2 linked regions of the Oreochromis niloticus genome follow. The protein of the gene in region 2 purifies or fractionates together with the protein of the main gene of each other region. This does not show direct contact. Links are inferred from orthologs where the notes say so. Each region holds a gene or a part of one and is shown on either strand. Other genes may lie near its edges.

The links. The genes of interacting proteins can lie anywhere in the genome.
Region 1: the proteins of sprtn (region 2) and pold3 purify together in Homo sapiens (affinity purification with mass spectrometry; 3 studies listed by BioGRID, with this or other methods). This does not show direct contact. The link is inferred for Oreochromis niloticus from reciprocal best matches to the Homo sapiens genes SPRTN and POLD3.

The regions. Positions count from the first base shown.
Region 1 is NC_031982.2:27,838,827-27,846,919, reverse strand, and holds the start of pold3 (DNA polymerase delta subunit 3), read right to left. Parts: upstream 3,019-8,093; 5' UTR 2,918-3,018; coding exon 2,861-2,917; intron 2,334-2,860; coding exon 2,278-2,333; intron 1,848-2,277; coding exon 1,748-1,847; intron 1,652-1,747; coding exon 1,612-1,651; intron 1,374-1,611; coding exon 1,241-1,373; intron 1,084-1,240; coding exon 828-1,083; intron 736-827; coding exon 663-735; intron 1-662. UniProt on the Homo sapiens protein: Accessory component of both the DNA polymerase delta complex and the DNA polymerase zeta complex.
Region 2 is NC_031980.2:18,418,434-18,425,898, reverse strand, and holds the start of sprtn (DNA-dependent metalloprotease SPRTN), read right to left. Parts: upstream 3,059-7,465; 5' UTR 2,564-3,058; coding exon 2,232-2,563; intron 2,095-2,231; coding exon 1,995-2,094; intron 1,794-1,994; coding exon 1,665-1,793; intron 1,382-1,664; coding exon 1,099-1,381; intron 391-1,098; coding exon 1-390. Other genes in the region: exoc8 (exocyst complex component 8), read left to right, coding at 3,445-4,597, 5,692-5,945, 6,379-6,627, 7,098-7,465. UniProt on the Homo sapiens protein: DNA-dependent metalloendopeptidase that mediates the proteolytic cleavage of covalent DNA-protein cross-links (DPCs) during DNA synthesis, thereby playing a key role in maintaining genomic integrity.

The DNA of each region.
Region 1 (8,093 bases), on a different chromosome or scaffold from region 2:
AAAAAAGTTGGGACGTGGCATCCATGTTTTCCAAGTAAAACGTAACATTTTGATTTCTGACCAGAAAGGTTTTCCACTTTGCCTCAGACCATTTTAAATGAGCTTTGGCGGAGAAGATGGCAGGGTTTCTGGATCGTGTTCACAAGTGGCTTCTGCTTTAGAGCCTCTACATTCAAACCTTACACTCCATGCAAGACAAAACTGTTTTGCTGATTACAACCTGCAGCACTTTGGTACTTTTTAAAAAACTTGTTGGCTCACTTGCTGATTATTTTCCACCATGACGAGTAACGCATTCAATTATGATGCTTTTACTAGGTTTATGTGAAATAAGAACATGACAGGAACAACATTTATTTATATAATAATGTGATTTGTACAACTGCTCTGAAAGGCAGATCGTGTGTCAAATAAAGAGCAAAATACTACTACTACTACTACTACTACTACTACTACTACTACTACTACTACTAATACTAATACTAATAATAATAATAAAAACAAACTATGAGCAGAACAGTTTCAAGGTTAAAATAGAAACCTAAAACAAAATAACAGCAGTCTAAATGGAACATATGAATTTTAATCCCCCTTTTAATAAAGTACACCACACACACACACACACACACACACACACACAATTTTTTTAAATTATTACTCACTTGATGTTTGAGTCCCAAAGAAGTTTGCCACTGGATTGACTTTTGCGACCGGTTTGCTTTTGGGTGCTTCGATCTAAAATACAAAATACACACTTAGAAACAAATAGAGCAAAAACTCAAGTACCCTGGAGAGCAACTGACTGCAGCACAAGGACAAAGCCGTACATCATGTGCATCCTCTTTCTTTTCAGGCTTCATCTCTTTGCTGTTATCCTGACTCTTAGGAGCAGATTTGTTAGCAAACATTCCCATGATGCCTTTTGGAGGCTTGGCGGATGATTTTAAAACTGGGCTGGTGTCTCCATTCATGCCAGCCTTTTTGTTTTCAGGCTCAGGTGTAGGAGCTTGCTGAACTTCCCTCGCCTGCTGCAGCTCCACAGAAGACATGGGCACTGCGCTGGCACAGCGGATCGCGCTGTATCTGAAAACCAAAAGGAAATAACTATTAAATAATATTAATAACATTATACATTAATTATGCTTTCATTCTAATAGTGGCTAAACTAATTTTTACACAGATGGTGTAGAAATGCTGATTACTGGTCACTGCAAATCAAAAAACACCATGATTAGCATACCTGCTGCAGTTTTTAAGATTGTCTTTCACAGCGTCGTAGTCCACAGCGTAAAGTGGGCCGCTGTCTTTAAGCAACGCTTTCTGGACGCTGTAGACGTGCACGCTGACTACCAAGCTCATCTTGGCTTTGAAGTCTGCAGAAGAAAACAGCAAACTTGACACACTGCTGCTTCATTTACAATAACTATGTCATTAAATAAAACAAAATACAAAGAAAATCAAGACTCACTGACATAAAAGTGTACCATTTAGTGATGGTGATGATTATGAAATGAGGACATTACTTTCGAAATGAGAACCAAACAACGAGCCAACCTTGCTGTTACAGAGCAACACAACCGAATGATGTCATGTGAATTAATATTTACACACCTTCCAGCTGCTCCTCTCTCACAACAGACACCTTGTGACTCTGAAAAGCAAACACAGTGTAAAAATCATTAAATCTGCAGCTTTGTGCATGTAGAAAAAAAAAAAAAATCACAAAAATTGCTACAACAGGTCTCACCGTTTGACCGTTGTCCACAAATTTCCCTGACACAAGGTAGGTGGCATGCAGCTGAGCTGAACTCTCCTTCCTCTTGTGATCCAGGTAGTGGTAGAGCATTCTGAACACAAGACACAACTTACATGTATTTCCCACAACTTGAGCCTTTACCTGGGCCACTTAGGAACATCAGTGTTTATGGCATTTATGTATTTATCAGCCAATGACACAAAGTGTTAATGATCTTTTTTTAAAAGAAAACACACAGCACCTTTTTTTGCATGCACACATATGCCAAAACATGCAAACATGTGCATGTCTTCATCTCAGTAACACAACAAAAACGGTGTAACTCATTGCAGAAAAACTCAAGCGACATTCCACTGGACTATTACTGTCAAATGTAGTGCTTCTTTGGCGCTAAATACAGTAAACCCTAATTAATTTAAATTTGGGATTGTTGCTTGGACAAACAAGACATTTTGAAGATGGAAAAAAAAAGTATCATATATTATTTTATTAGTTCATGGCATGTCAAAGTAACCACTTACTGTTTTGCTGTGTTGACATGAACTCCAAGAGTGAGACTCAGCCATTTATAGGTTACCTGTTGTAGAGAATGCACACAGGACACTTGTATTTACACAGAGACTATATGACGGATAATAAATATTATCCAAATATTGTCATTTCTTTAAGGTACCGATTATTGTTGCTTTCCATTAAGCTACGTGAGCTGGGAAATATCTAATACTTATCAGATATAAACAAATATCGACTTTATGTCAGTGTTTGAAATGTCTTTACTACAGCAGTGTTTGTCACGCACTTGGCGGTTTCCAGCAGTAACTGAAATTGGTCAACTAAAAATAAGCTTTTCTTCAATTCAAGTGCCATTTACTACAGCATGGCAGAGCCGAATTAACACGGAGACCCCTGAACATCCCTAAAATTGATAAAAATGCCCCCGGATACACATAAATTGTCGTGAAAACCAGACAAAGTTAAAACGGCAGTTTTTTTGAGCGGAGTTCAGCAGCCAATCATGTCGAAGCCAGAGCTAATTCATGTTCTAGTTCAGCCAGAAAACGTCATCGCACAAAATGAAATACCGCGAATTAAGAAGGCACTTACTATTTTATTATGGTCATTGACGTATTCGTCAATATTATCCAAATAAAGCTCATCCATTTTGGTTTATTCTCCTTGAAAGCAGACGACTTGCTGTTCCAATTTAACTGCGCGGGAAAGCAGTTTATTTACTTCCTGTTGCATGTCACGTGTCCGCCCGTCCTTCCTGTGAAGCGAAAGGCTTTAGGCTGCCCTCTGCAGGCCAGACGGGGCTGTGACTCACTCCCTGGATCAAATGAATGATAGAAGTAAAAAAAAAAACAGGAGCTTCATTCATTTATTTTTACTATATTCCACACACATTATCATTATTAATACGTTTTTTTTTGTACCCCAAAACCAACACGGGACAGTTAAAAATCAGTGCAAACTGTCTGAGAACAGCAAAATCCACAATGTGAATGCAGTGGAGCTGAGTGGAGAGAGCATCAGTTCATTATAGGCACTATAATGCACCTATGTATGTGGAAAACAATAATGATGATGGGTCTCCAGGGGCCACTTTAAAGCTATCTCTTATTATAGTAGCCCAACAATGTGCTCCAGTTTTACCTTACCGTCTATGCGGGAGGCAAAGGAGCAGTGTGTAGAAAATAAAGCAAGCTTCTTACACCGCCATCATATCAAAGAGCAATAACTACAACAGCAGCATCCTCAGATTGTTCAGTAGAGAAGTCCATTCCTTCCTCATGGGGAGTCTGCATGATATTTCTAACTCAGGCAATAATAAACTGAAAATGACAACAGAACAAAAATGGTTTGCCCAGTGTGTCTTCAGCTTTCAGGCAACTTTCTCAGGTCACAAGAAAAAAAGTGCAGTGCTCAAAACATAGGATTATATGAAGTGATAAGCTTCAAAACATAAATAACAGATGTTAACTGACCTCCGGCTCCTTAGGAAATAAAGTAATCTTTCTCCCGCTTGTATATGGGTATTCCAGTCCAACTTACTGTTGGGCTGCACACCAGGGTATCTGTGGTTGAAGACCACTTCCATCTCAGTGCTCCTTACAGTTATTGGTGTTGATTGGCTCCTTCTCCCACCCCTCGTGAAGTCTACAATGGTTTTTGTGACATTATGATGAAGAGGATTGCATTCAAAGTCCTAAACTGTTCCTCTATTCTCCTCCTGCTCACCACTTTTGATTGAGCCGACAACTGCTGTGTCATCAGAAAGTTTCAGCAACAAAGTGTCACTGTTGTGCTGATGTCTGAAGTCTGCCGTAGACATGGTACATGCTACACACGGGACTGTGCTAGAGACACTTTTTTGCAGATGCACATATTGTGGTCGGCAGGAGAGATACTCCAAAAACACAAGACCATTGATGGATTGTAGTAAAGGCACTGGAGAATCAAAAAATGTGAATGTCACAAATGCATTGACCAGATATGTATGTGGCCTCTGGATCGACACAGCATTGGTGTGCTTCACTTCTGTTGCATCAGATCTGAAAGAGTAGGTTCAAAAAGTTTAAAGTTATTTATTTGCTTTAATCAAAATGAAATTCACTGACTCTCCCATGTTGATGGGGAAAAAAGAGACTTTTTGTCTCTTATGGATCAATCAAGACAATTAAGAAACTGAATAAATAAATAAATAATGTACCAGAGGAACATTTCCAACCCTGAACAAATGTGCTAAACAAGTAGAAAAATAAGAATGGTTTTAAACAAGCTAACCCATATCATTATCTGAGCATTTCCATTTCTACTCTACCACTTGCAAACCTATTGCTCCAAAAAGCCTTGTTAATGAGATGTAGCTGTCAAATCTGAGTGACACGCTGTATATATGATTATCTGAGGTGTGTTCTCGCAGTCTATCTGATGTAATATTTAGATTGAAGTAGCTCTGAGTCTTCAGTGCACAGCGCTGCTCAGCCTGCACGGTAACTTCTAATAGAAATGTCAAACAGAAGGGCAGCGACGTGCAGCAGAGGAGGGAAAAATATTCCCATAATGATGACAAAGTACAAGAATAATTGTCTCACCTTGAAGACGGAGAGCAACACTGAAATCCTCAGGTGGATCAGATTTGGTTTAAATGAAGGAACATTGTGATCCTCTTTGTCTTTCTTCTCATTGTGCTGCACACAAGCACCTTTACCTTTTTGGGTTTTTTGTGGACTCCTTTGCAAATATACCAGTGCAAAAAATGTAAAAATATTTAAAAAATTCAAATTCAAATTCCCTTAAAGACTTTTTTGTACTTTTTTTTGTCCATATACAGCACCACAGATTTTAAATCAAGGAATCAATAAGCAGTTAAAGTGCAGATTTTTAGCTTTAATTTAAGTTTAACAAAAGTATTGCAGTAGCTATTTAGGATTTTTAGCCAGTTTTATACATAGTCCTCCAGTTTCAGAGACTAATAATAGTAATCGGACAGTTGAGTCATAAAAAGTTTTATGTGAGGTCTGTTCCCTTGTTAGTCCATGATAATATTAAACAGATAAAAGACCTTCTGTTTTTTCCAGGTTGACATTTTCACTGGAATTCTCAGAATTCCAAAGGCAGAAGTTCAAAGGCAGTCCGTCAACTGATGTTAATGCACCAGACAAGGCTTTTTAGTTAGTGAAGACAAAACTTAAGGCGCAAACATACAGCAGCTGAAAATGGCTTGAGTAAAGGCCTGAGAGAAGGCGAGAGGATTTAATACAGCATTTGTTAATTTCCACGAGCTTCTAGATTTCAGTCAGTTATTACCTTATTTTCATTCTAGTATTATATTTTGTGCAAACAAATTTTAAATTGAAGATTTTAAATTAAAATTATATCTGGAAGTATATAGTTCCATTGCAGTGGTGTATAGAGGCAAAATTGTGTCCAAAAACCTAAAGACCAGACTGTATCTCACAAGCATGTGGAGCGTGATCAGTCTATGTCTGTGGTTCTTACAAAACTACAGACATAAAAATTTGGGGAACCATTGACAGATATAGAGTTCAAAAATAGACCAAATGTGCTTTTACGTAAAAATCCTAATCTATGAAGGTATACATACTTGGATGTCAAATTATAAATCAATCCACTATATTTCAAAGAAAGATGTATTTATTCTTTTAAATAGATGTTTCCATAAATACCAGTCAAGTACAATTTTACAAAATCAGGTCACTAAACCAGGTCAGGGTTAAACAAGGTTTTTTTGTTTTAATGAAAGGATTCAGAGTCAGTCAGCACATCTGATTCACTGTAAGCAAAATCAGGGGTTGAATTGATATCAAACCGCAGCCCTCCTCTTGTCACACCAGAATGTCACTTGAGTGTCCCAGTGCCCCCCTCTGGTTGGCTCAAGTGCCTCTCTGCTATGAACTAATGCATCAAAAGTAAACCTTCTCTGTAATCCAGCCCTGCACGTGAAAGAAAAGCTGGCTCTCCTTTAAAAGCCAATGCTCATCACAGCTGCTTTCAGAATCGGGGTAATGTTTGAAACAGTGTTATTCCTCCTTTTGCTGAAGCGTTTATGATACTTTTTATATTGCATTTGTTACTGTTCACTCCCGAATTACATCAAAACCGTGACTGGCTGTATTTGTGTGGATCAAGGGGTTTATTATTGGTTTTATTTTACACTTTGTTTGCAAAACAAACAATATTGGACGTGTCACTCTATATAAGAAATTCAGTCCAAAGTTTTACATTACAGATGCAATTTCTTAGTGATGCAGTGGCTGTGCCATATTTAACATGCCGGTTCATGCGGGCAGAAAAATACGTTTATGCTTGTAACACCTGGAAATGTTGATAAGTGTCGGCAGTACCTGCAGGTGTCTAACACTCTGTGGCTGCCTCCTGTGCTGCCAAAACATCTCTGATCCATCAGGGCGTGCACGAGGTACCGCTGAGGGTGGTCTGTGATGTCTGGCACCAGGAAGTGGATGTTGGCTTTGGGTCCTGTGGTGGCGCTTCCTTGACCGAGGTTGTTCTGGCGTGTCCTGATGCTCAGCAGGATTCACGTGTGGTAGGGTTAAAATCTGGATCAGCGCCTTGGGCAGTTTGTTAAGGTCTTTGAACAATTCGTAAACTTTTTTTTTGCCATGTGGTAGATTGGCTTACATGGGGAGATGATTGCTATCAGGGAGTGACTTTGACGTTAGATACACTTGACCTGCAGCAGTGGCAGCAGTGTAGATGTTACCCTGACATGCAGTGCTCCACATCATTGCAGAAACTCATGCAGAACAGATGGTAGATGGTATCAAATATTTCAGTGGTTTTAACGTTGTGGCCGAACAGTTTATTTAGGTGGTGTTGTGCAATCATACAAGTTTTGTTTTGCCATGGTTGTGACTGCGATCATCATAATATTTCTCCTTCACATACCATGAACTTCTATGACATTGACTTTTTAATGATCCTCAGAACTTTTAAATATTGAAAGAAAACAGAGAAGAACTTTTGATTGCAGCAAGAAAGAAGGATGGTAAACCAGGACGATTTCCCAGACACTGGAGGAGAAAGGATAAAATATCAAACCAGCCTCGCCAGGACTGGGATGGTCTTTTTGGCCGTCTCCGCCCACCACTCTCACAGCATCTAAGTGTCTGAAAAACCAAGCCCATCCTGACCTCCCTGCCATGGCCCCCAAAAATGTAATTAAATTAATTTTTTTTCTAGTTCCGGTGATATAATTTGATTTGCTGGGCCGCTTTTGTCAAAATAAAAGAATGCAAATAAAAAAAATTAAAATGAGCAAATACACAACAATGAAATCTACATCTACCAATCTACAAATAAAGAAAACACCAAATAAAAGAAAGTGAAAAACTAAAATTACTTTCACATCATGACAGTCGTATCAGTTTATGTTCATCTTAACTTTGACTGGCCTAGAGTTTATTTTGGAAAGCTAAAAGTACACAGTATCTACACGATGCGTTAACACACAGAGGTCACAGTTTCTTTTTAATGTATATATATTTACATTTATGGAACACCTGAACAGGAACCTTGAACATGATCACACCACACATAAATGGCCTGTATTTATATAGCGCTTTACTAGTCCCTAAGGACCCCAAAGCACTTTACATATCCAGCCATCCACCCATTCACACACACATTTGATGGCAAGCGCCCCAGCCACCCTGGGGCGCACTGACAGAGGCGAGGCTGCCGGACACTGGCGCCACCGGGCCCTCTGACCACCACCAGTAGGCAACGGGTGAAGCGTCTTGCCCAAGGACACAACGACCGAGACTGTCCAAGCCGGGGCTCGAACTAGCAACCT
Region 2 (7,465 bases):
TCTTATCTCCTCCTTGGCTGCTACTACTGCTCTGGGATTTTGGCATTTTCACTGGTGAACCGTTTATGTTGACAAAGTGCGTCGTGTTGCCGACAGACCTCTTTACAGGTGGCTTTCTCCCCATGGAAGTGGATGGTCTGACTGAGGTAAAAGTGTTGGAAATCCCATTGGTCTTGTTAGAGTGAACAGGAGAGGAGAGACTTTTAGGCGGGGACGATGGCGTGAAGAACTTCTTTGGGGAGGGGACAGGGTTGGACAATGGTGTTTTCACAACAGGAAGTGGTGGCCTGGGAGATGGCGAGTAAGACGTTGAGTCCTGAGACTTCCCCCCAAGGATGAAGCCTTTCCCACTAAATGGGATGATGTCCCTTATATCCTGTGATCCAGAACCTGGGACAGGAAATGATACAATTTAGAGTCAACCATGCAATGTATTTAAATCCAGTAACTTAGTTCAAGTGGACCTGGTTTGCTTTTTCTTTAATTTCAGTTCTTATATTATATCTTTTTATATACACGACCAGAGTTTCTGACAATGAAGTCAGTGTATGTAAAGTGATCACTTCAGGTGCTCTAAATCAGGGGTGTCATACTCATTTCACACTGTGGACCACATAAAGTCCATTTTGACCTTAAGTGGGCCTAACCAGTGAAACTCCTCTTTCTGAAAGTGTAAAGAAGTTATTACTATTATTATTACTATTATTATTACTGTTATTATTATTATTACTATTATTATTATTAATTGTGTAGTAATTACACACTTAATGTTTCCAAAGCTGTCCAGTGGGTCAACCGAGAGTCTCTGAGGGGCCAATTCAGTAAATACCATTCTTTATATTTCCTGCATGTTTTGTTGCAGGGGGTCATTTGATTTAAATTGATTTTACATGCTCAAGTTACTCAGTGGAAACAATCTATTCACGGTTAAAAGCAGTCAGGCATCAAAGCATAACATGACTGTTGTTTTGAGGCTGTCACAAAAAATTAAGAACATTTTTCACTGATGTTTAAAATGTTTGAAATATGAACAACATTTTCTAGTTTGTTGGCACAATGTATTAAAGCTTAATACACAGGAGTGTACGGGCATGTTACCTGTAGTCGTACTTGAAGGCTTGCCACTTCCTGCGGCCTTCTTCTCTGAGGTCTTGCTGTTTTTTTGGCCTTTTTTGCCATATCCTTCAGGCTCCTTGATTTTGGTGTATGTGCCACCACATGTTCTCTGGTGATCCTCCCACCAAGGGTCCAGAGAAGAAGGAGCTCTATTCATGGCTCTCTTCACGTAGCCAAAGTAGGGTTTACGCTTCTGGCAGGGCCCATTACACCGCCACCAGTGCTGCCGGTACATATCAACCTCATCGTGGAAGCTGTGGTAGATCTGATGAAAGGAAGGAAAGATGGCAAGACATAAGTTTATGAAAGAGAGAGATTAGAGAAAATCCAAAATGAATTTAAATGTTTCTTGATTACTTTGCTGTACAATCATTGCACCCTGAACAGCAGTTCAAACAAATCATTAAAAGCCCCAAATTCCTATGACATTCAAGTCCATGATGATTATATGTAAACTTCTGAATACAACTGTACATTTGAAGGTTTGTATGTATATGTGGTCCACAAAACAGAATAAGTTTGAATATGTCTCAAGAACATATACTTACAGTAATCTTGGTCCCACTGGCTTTGTTGATCCGGTTCATGTGTTTGCAGAACTCAGGTCCGTGGCCATCTCTGTCCCGGTTATTTTGTGTCACAAACAGGAGCGCGTGAATCATTTCATGGAGAAGGGTCTGTGGCAACCAGTGAAAATAAACTGATTAATAAAATGAAAATTGTCCTCTTTTTTAAGGATTACAAGTTCTAATCTATCACACTGTCACGCATTCACTGCTGGGGTTAGGGAGGTAAAATGATAGTTGTATAAATTTCAGCCCCTACAACAAGCCCTTTCCCAGTGTTTCTGATGTGAATGGTGTTCAGGTCCACCTCACCTCTACCAGGTCTTTTCTGGGTCTAAGCTTCAGCAGAGGCTCACTCAGCCTGATTGAACACAGTCCACCTTGACCCTCATAAGAACAAACTCCAGCACACCTAAGAGAAGAAAGAGAGGAAAAGAGGAGCAGGACACATTACAGACATGCCAAACCAAATCCCATACAAAAATCAAAGGTGTTATTGTGTAGACAAGTTTGTGGGAGTTAAAAATAACAAAAACATGCATGACTTACAAGGTCATTCTCGAGCTCCACTTCACCTCCACACCGCTGAGTTTACCCCAGAAGAACATGTCATTGAACTCCAGAAACATGGCCCTGATGTCGGGGCTAGGGTCAAGCATCTCCCAGGACTCGTCCACAATGGACAGTGGCCTCTCAAGCTGGGGATTCGGTTTCCAGTAGGGAACAACATCGCTACCACCTCCAGCTACCTCCACTCTCCGTTTCTTATTGCTCTGCCCGAAACTATTATCTATAGTACCACTTGATGAAGATAATGAAGCCCGGTATTCCTGATCAAACTGCTCCTGCAGCCGAATAGCGAGCAGAAAATCCTCATCCATGACAAGAGAGGAAAGTTTTTTTGTTGTTTTGATGATATTTGTTGTTATGTTCTTTTTGGTTAGCGTGTTAGCGCCAACTAGCTAATGCAGTTTGTACAGGTCTCAAAAAAGCGGTAGCATCACGTCGTCTCAAAATGTAGTCTGACAAATTACCAATACGTGTCCAAATACTTTCTGTCATGAAATTTTCAGTAACATTTTCATATTACTAACCGTCAGACCAAAGCTAGCGCGAAGATCCGTGTATCAGGTCTGTCACAATAGGACAAAATAAATTCCGCTACGGGTTTCAAAGTAAAACAACTAAGTCAGTTTTAAACGACTAAGTAAGTTTTAAGTAAAAGCCTGAGTTCAATATGGCTATTTTCTTTTTTGTTTTGATGTATAAGTTTAAAATATCAAACTATCTGCATATGCGTTCTGTAGCATCCACTAATATCTTTTTTCAAAAATGGAACATTCTTTCGTTTTATAAAATGCTACATCCTGTTTAGTTTTGCGTAACTACCATAAACTTGATAGAATAGTCAAGCGAAGGTCTTGGCAATGGATTATGGGAACTGTAGTGTTGTTCGTTTCAAGTAGTTTCCACCAGTTAAATAAATAAAAGCAACACGGCTTTCTAATATAAATCATTAACATATGTTAAATTATATTAAAAATAAATATAAGACCCATTATGAACGACTAATTATCATTTAGATTTTTTAAAATTGTTTTTATTATTTTTTTGTATCCCGTGACGTTCCAGGGTGTCAACTTCCTGTTTAGACTACAAGCGGATATGAACCAAGGAGCCTCGATAAACTAGTTCTCTGTCCAGTTTTTTCTATATTTTCTCAACAATTTATCTCAATAAGTAAACAGTTACACGGCAAAAGATGTCGGAAACGGGGAACCGACTACGGAAGCTGCTCGAATCGCCCAATTTCGACCCGCAAAATTACGTCAAGCAGCTGTCACAGCAGTCCGATGGCGACAGGGATTTGCAGGAGCACCGACAAAAAATCCAAAACCTTGCGGACGAAACGGCTCAAAATCTGAAGAAAAATGTTTACAAGAACTACAGACAGTTCATCGAAACTGCCAAAGAGATTTCCTATCTGGAGAGCGAAATGTACCAGCTGAGCCACATCCTGACTGAACAGAAGAGCATCATGGAGAGTATCACTCAGGCCCTGCTGTCCACAGATAAGGATGAGACGTCTAAAGAGATGCAGGCAGCTTTTCCCAAGGAGACGGAGGAGGTGAAGCAGAGGACCCTCACCTCACTGTTGGAGAAAGTGGAAGGGGTTAAAAACATCATGGACACCCCAGGCAGGCACCTTATCTACAATGGGGACCTTGCAGAGTTTGATGTTGACAACATGTCCCCCATTCAGAAGGTGCATGCTTTCCTGATGAATGACTGTCTGCTGATTGCCACCTGGCTGCCTAACCGCCGTGGCACGGTTAAGTATAAATACAACGCTCTGTATGACCTGGAGAGCTTTGCTGTGGTTAACGTAAAAGACAACCCTCCGATGAAGGACATGTTCAAGATCCTGATGTTTCCAGACAGCCGCATCTTCCAGGCAGAGAACAGCAAAGTTAAGAAAGAGTGGTTGGAGATCCTAGATGAAACCAAGAAAAACAAAGTCTCCAAAGACAGGCACAAGAAGGAGGAGGAGGTCCCCACTTCTCCTGTTAGAGCTGAGGTATCCACCAATCCTTTTGATATGGATGACGATGAAGACACGGTTGATGGTGAGGAGAGCGTGAATCTTAGTCTTGAGTGGATCCAGGAGCTGCCAGAGGATCTGGACGTGTGCATTGCCCAGAGAGACTTCGAGGGTGCTGTTGACCTGCTGGACAAGCTCAACGAGTATCTCAGAGATCAGCCTGTCACCCCGAAGGTTAAAGAGCTTAGGGGGAAGGTGGATGAACGTGTGCGGCAGCTGACAGAGGTCCTGGTGTTTGAGTTGTCTCCAGATCGGTCACTTCGTGGCGGTCCTAAAGCAACCCGGCGGGCTGTTTCCCAGCTCATCAGACTAGGTCCTTTTATTTTTTTGTATTTTCCTCAATAATAACAAGCTTGCACACATCACCAAAACAAATAACACCTGTCTGCTTAGATCTCACTTTATATTCAGTGTATTCACAGTAAGGAGCCCACTCACAGGGTTTCCACAATTCACTGTTCATTATTCAGGGAGTTTAGCTCATTCTCTTCCATCATTTGCATGGACTTGACTTTCAAATTGCTTGTTGTCCGAGTTCGACCTTGGATGCAGTTAAAGTGTAATTTTCAGACAAATAAGCTGTGCTTGCGGTGATCTGTACGTATTCACTGTTTTTCTCTTCATCTTCAGTCAAGGTGAATATTCTCAAACTACTTAATTAAGAAAATAACTTTCCTATTCAGAGCACTAAGAGAACTAACCTCATGATAGTTTATATATAGTTTACTATTTATTTTTTGTCAGAATTGTTCTTGAATGGCCAAATGTTATAAAGCCTTAGAAATTTGTATTTTGCTTTGGTGCAGAACAGCTTCGAGTGGATCCATTTTTAATTATGCCTGAGCTTTGCAAACAGACTCCCACACACTGACTGATTTGCAAAAACATGTTTATTTGCAATTTTTCAGTACTTGACCTTTTTCGGGCAAAACATTATCCTTTAGCAGGAGTATGTAGGGTATAAACCTATTTTAAAACTCAATCAAAAGGAAAGAGAGAGACACTGAGGTAGGATCGCTTTGGCAATGTGAAAAAATCACAAAAGTTCATATTTCAGTTAACTATTAACATATAATACTCTCTTAATATCTCCCATAATTATTTTCTAAACATTTTGTCCCTTCACTCCCAGGTATTCTTTATATATTCAAGGAGAATTTGCCATCCACTTTACTCAAATTTAATTGACTTTTTTTTTTCCATTTAGCTTAATAGGTTTCAAGACATATACTAAAAAACATACCAGAATCAGCTGAGAAATAGCTACACATGTTGTACATTTGCAGTCATAAATATAAAGGCCCTCAGATTCCCATAATGCATCACAGTTTGCATGTATTTGCAAAAAGACAATGTAATTGCCATGAACATCTGTACTGTCTCATCACACAGTCATCTGTGTTTCAGGCCAGTCCACTAAAGCCTGTGAGCTGTTTCTGAAGAACCGCGCCGCTGCAGTGCAGACTGCTATACGGCAGCTTCGCATTGAAGGAGCCACGCTGCTCTACATCCACAAACTCTGCAACATATTCTTCACCAGCCTGCTGGAGACGGCCAAGGAATTTCAGATGGACTTTGCCGGGAACACAGGCTGCTATTCTGCCTTCGTGGTCTGGTCCAGATCAGCCATGAGGATGTTTGTGGACGCCTTCAGCAAGCAGGTAGTTAGAATGTCAGATGGTAAAACCCTAAAATGAGTAATAGGTACGTCCCCTATGATTAGAAGATATGTAACATCTATCATTTGTATATTCTTTATTGTTTATAGCCAAAAACATACTAAGCGACTGAGACACGATGTAATATTTGTGTGTTCCGGTGGTGTTTTTGGGTGTTAATGGTTTAAAATACGCAAATAACCAACAATGTGTCTAGGTATACAGAGGATAAGCTTCTGGATCTCAGGTGTATAAAAAATTTGAGTTCTTTTAGTAATAAAAAAAAAGCCATCTGAGAAGGGCAAAGAACTGAAAAGTATTGCTGCAACACAAGAGGATCTCTTAAATGGCAGCCAGAGCATGCAGCGTGCAAGTTTAAATTTATGGTTGTATAGTTTTCTTAATACAGTAAATTTTTTTATTTCCTCATTGCTAGGTGTTCGACAGTAAGGAGAGCCTGTCGACGGCAGCGGAGTGCGTGAAAGTGGCTAAAGAACACTGTCAGCAGCTCACCGAGATCGGCCTGGACCTGACTTTCACCCTGCAGTCCCTGCTGGTCAAAGACATCAAGGCAGCGCTCCAGAGCTACAAAGATATTATCATCGAGGCCACGAAACACAGAAACTCTGAGGAGATGTGGAGGAGGATGAACCTCATGACTCCTGAGGCTTTGGCTAAACTTAAGGTGGATCAGAATTATTTCTGTTTTGTCTCTTGGTTCTTATGGTTTCTCACTCAGTGTTTTGTTTTCTTCAATTGTTGATTAGTTTTTAACCAAGAACCTCCTAAATTGAGTAACAGAAACCAAACCTTTGATAATCCGGTATTAATCTGCTTAAATGATTCAACTGTTGAAATTTTTCCACTGTGAGGCTTTTAAGCTCCTTTTTATATAATTTTATATTTTGGGGTTTTTTGCATGCTCCTTGTACAATAAAAGCACAACCTTGTCATGTGGGGAACTCATTTTATAAAGTAAATACTACATTTACCAAAAATAATAGTTAATTATGTTGTAATTTCTGGAGGCAGGGATTTTGGCTTGTGTGCTTAGAGCTTCTGTTACAACAAATGCTGAGGATTTCATATGAAAGCTGCCACAAATCACTGTTTTCCTTTACCTGCTGCAACATTAACGTATTTATCTTTCTGCAGGATGAGATGCGCAGTTGTGGCATTCACTTCGAGCAGTACACAGGCGATGACTGCTGGGTGAACCTGAGCTATACTGTCGTGGCCTTCACCAAGCAGATGATGAGCTTCTTAGAGGAAGGCCTGAAGCTCTACTTCCCTGAGCTGCACATGGTGCTGCTGGAGAGCCTGAGGGAGATCATCCTGGTGGCCGTACAGCACGTAGACTACAGCCTTCGCTGTGAGCAGGACCCTGAGAAGAAAGCCTTTGTCATGCAGAATGCCTCCTTCCTCCATGACACCGTGCTGCCGGTGGTTGAGCGGAGGTTTGAGGAGGGCGTGGGGAAGCCGGCCAAGCAGCTGCAGGACCTCAGGAAGAGCACGAGGCCGGT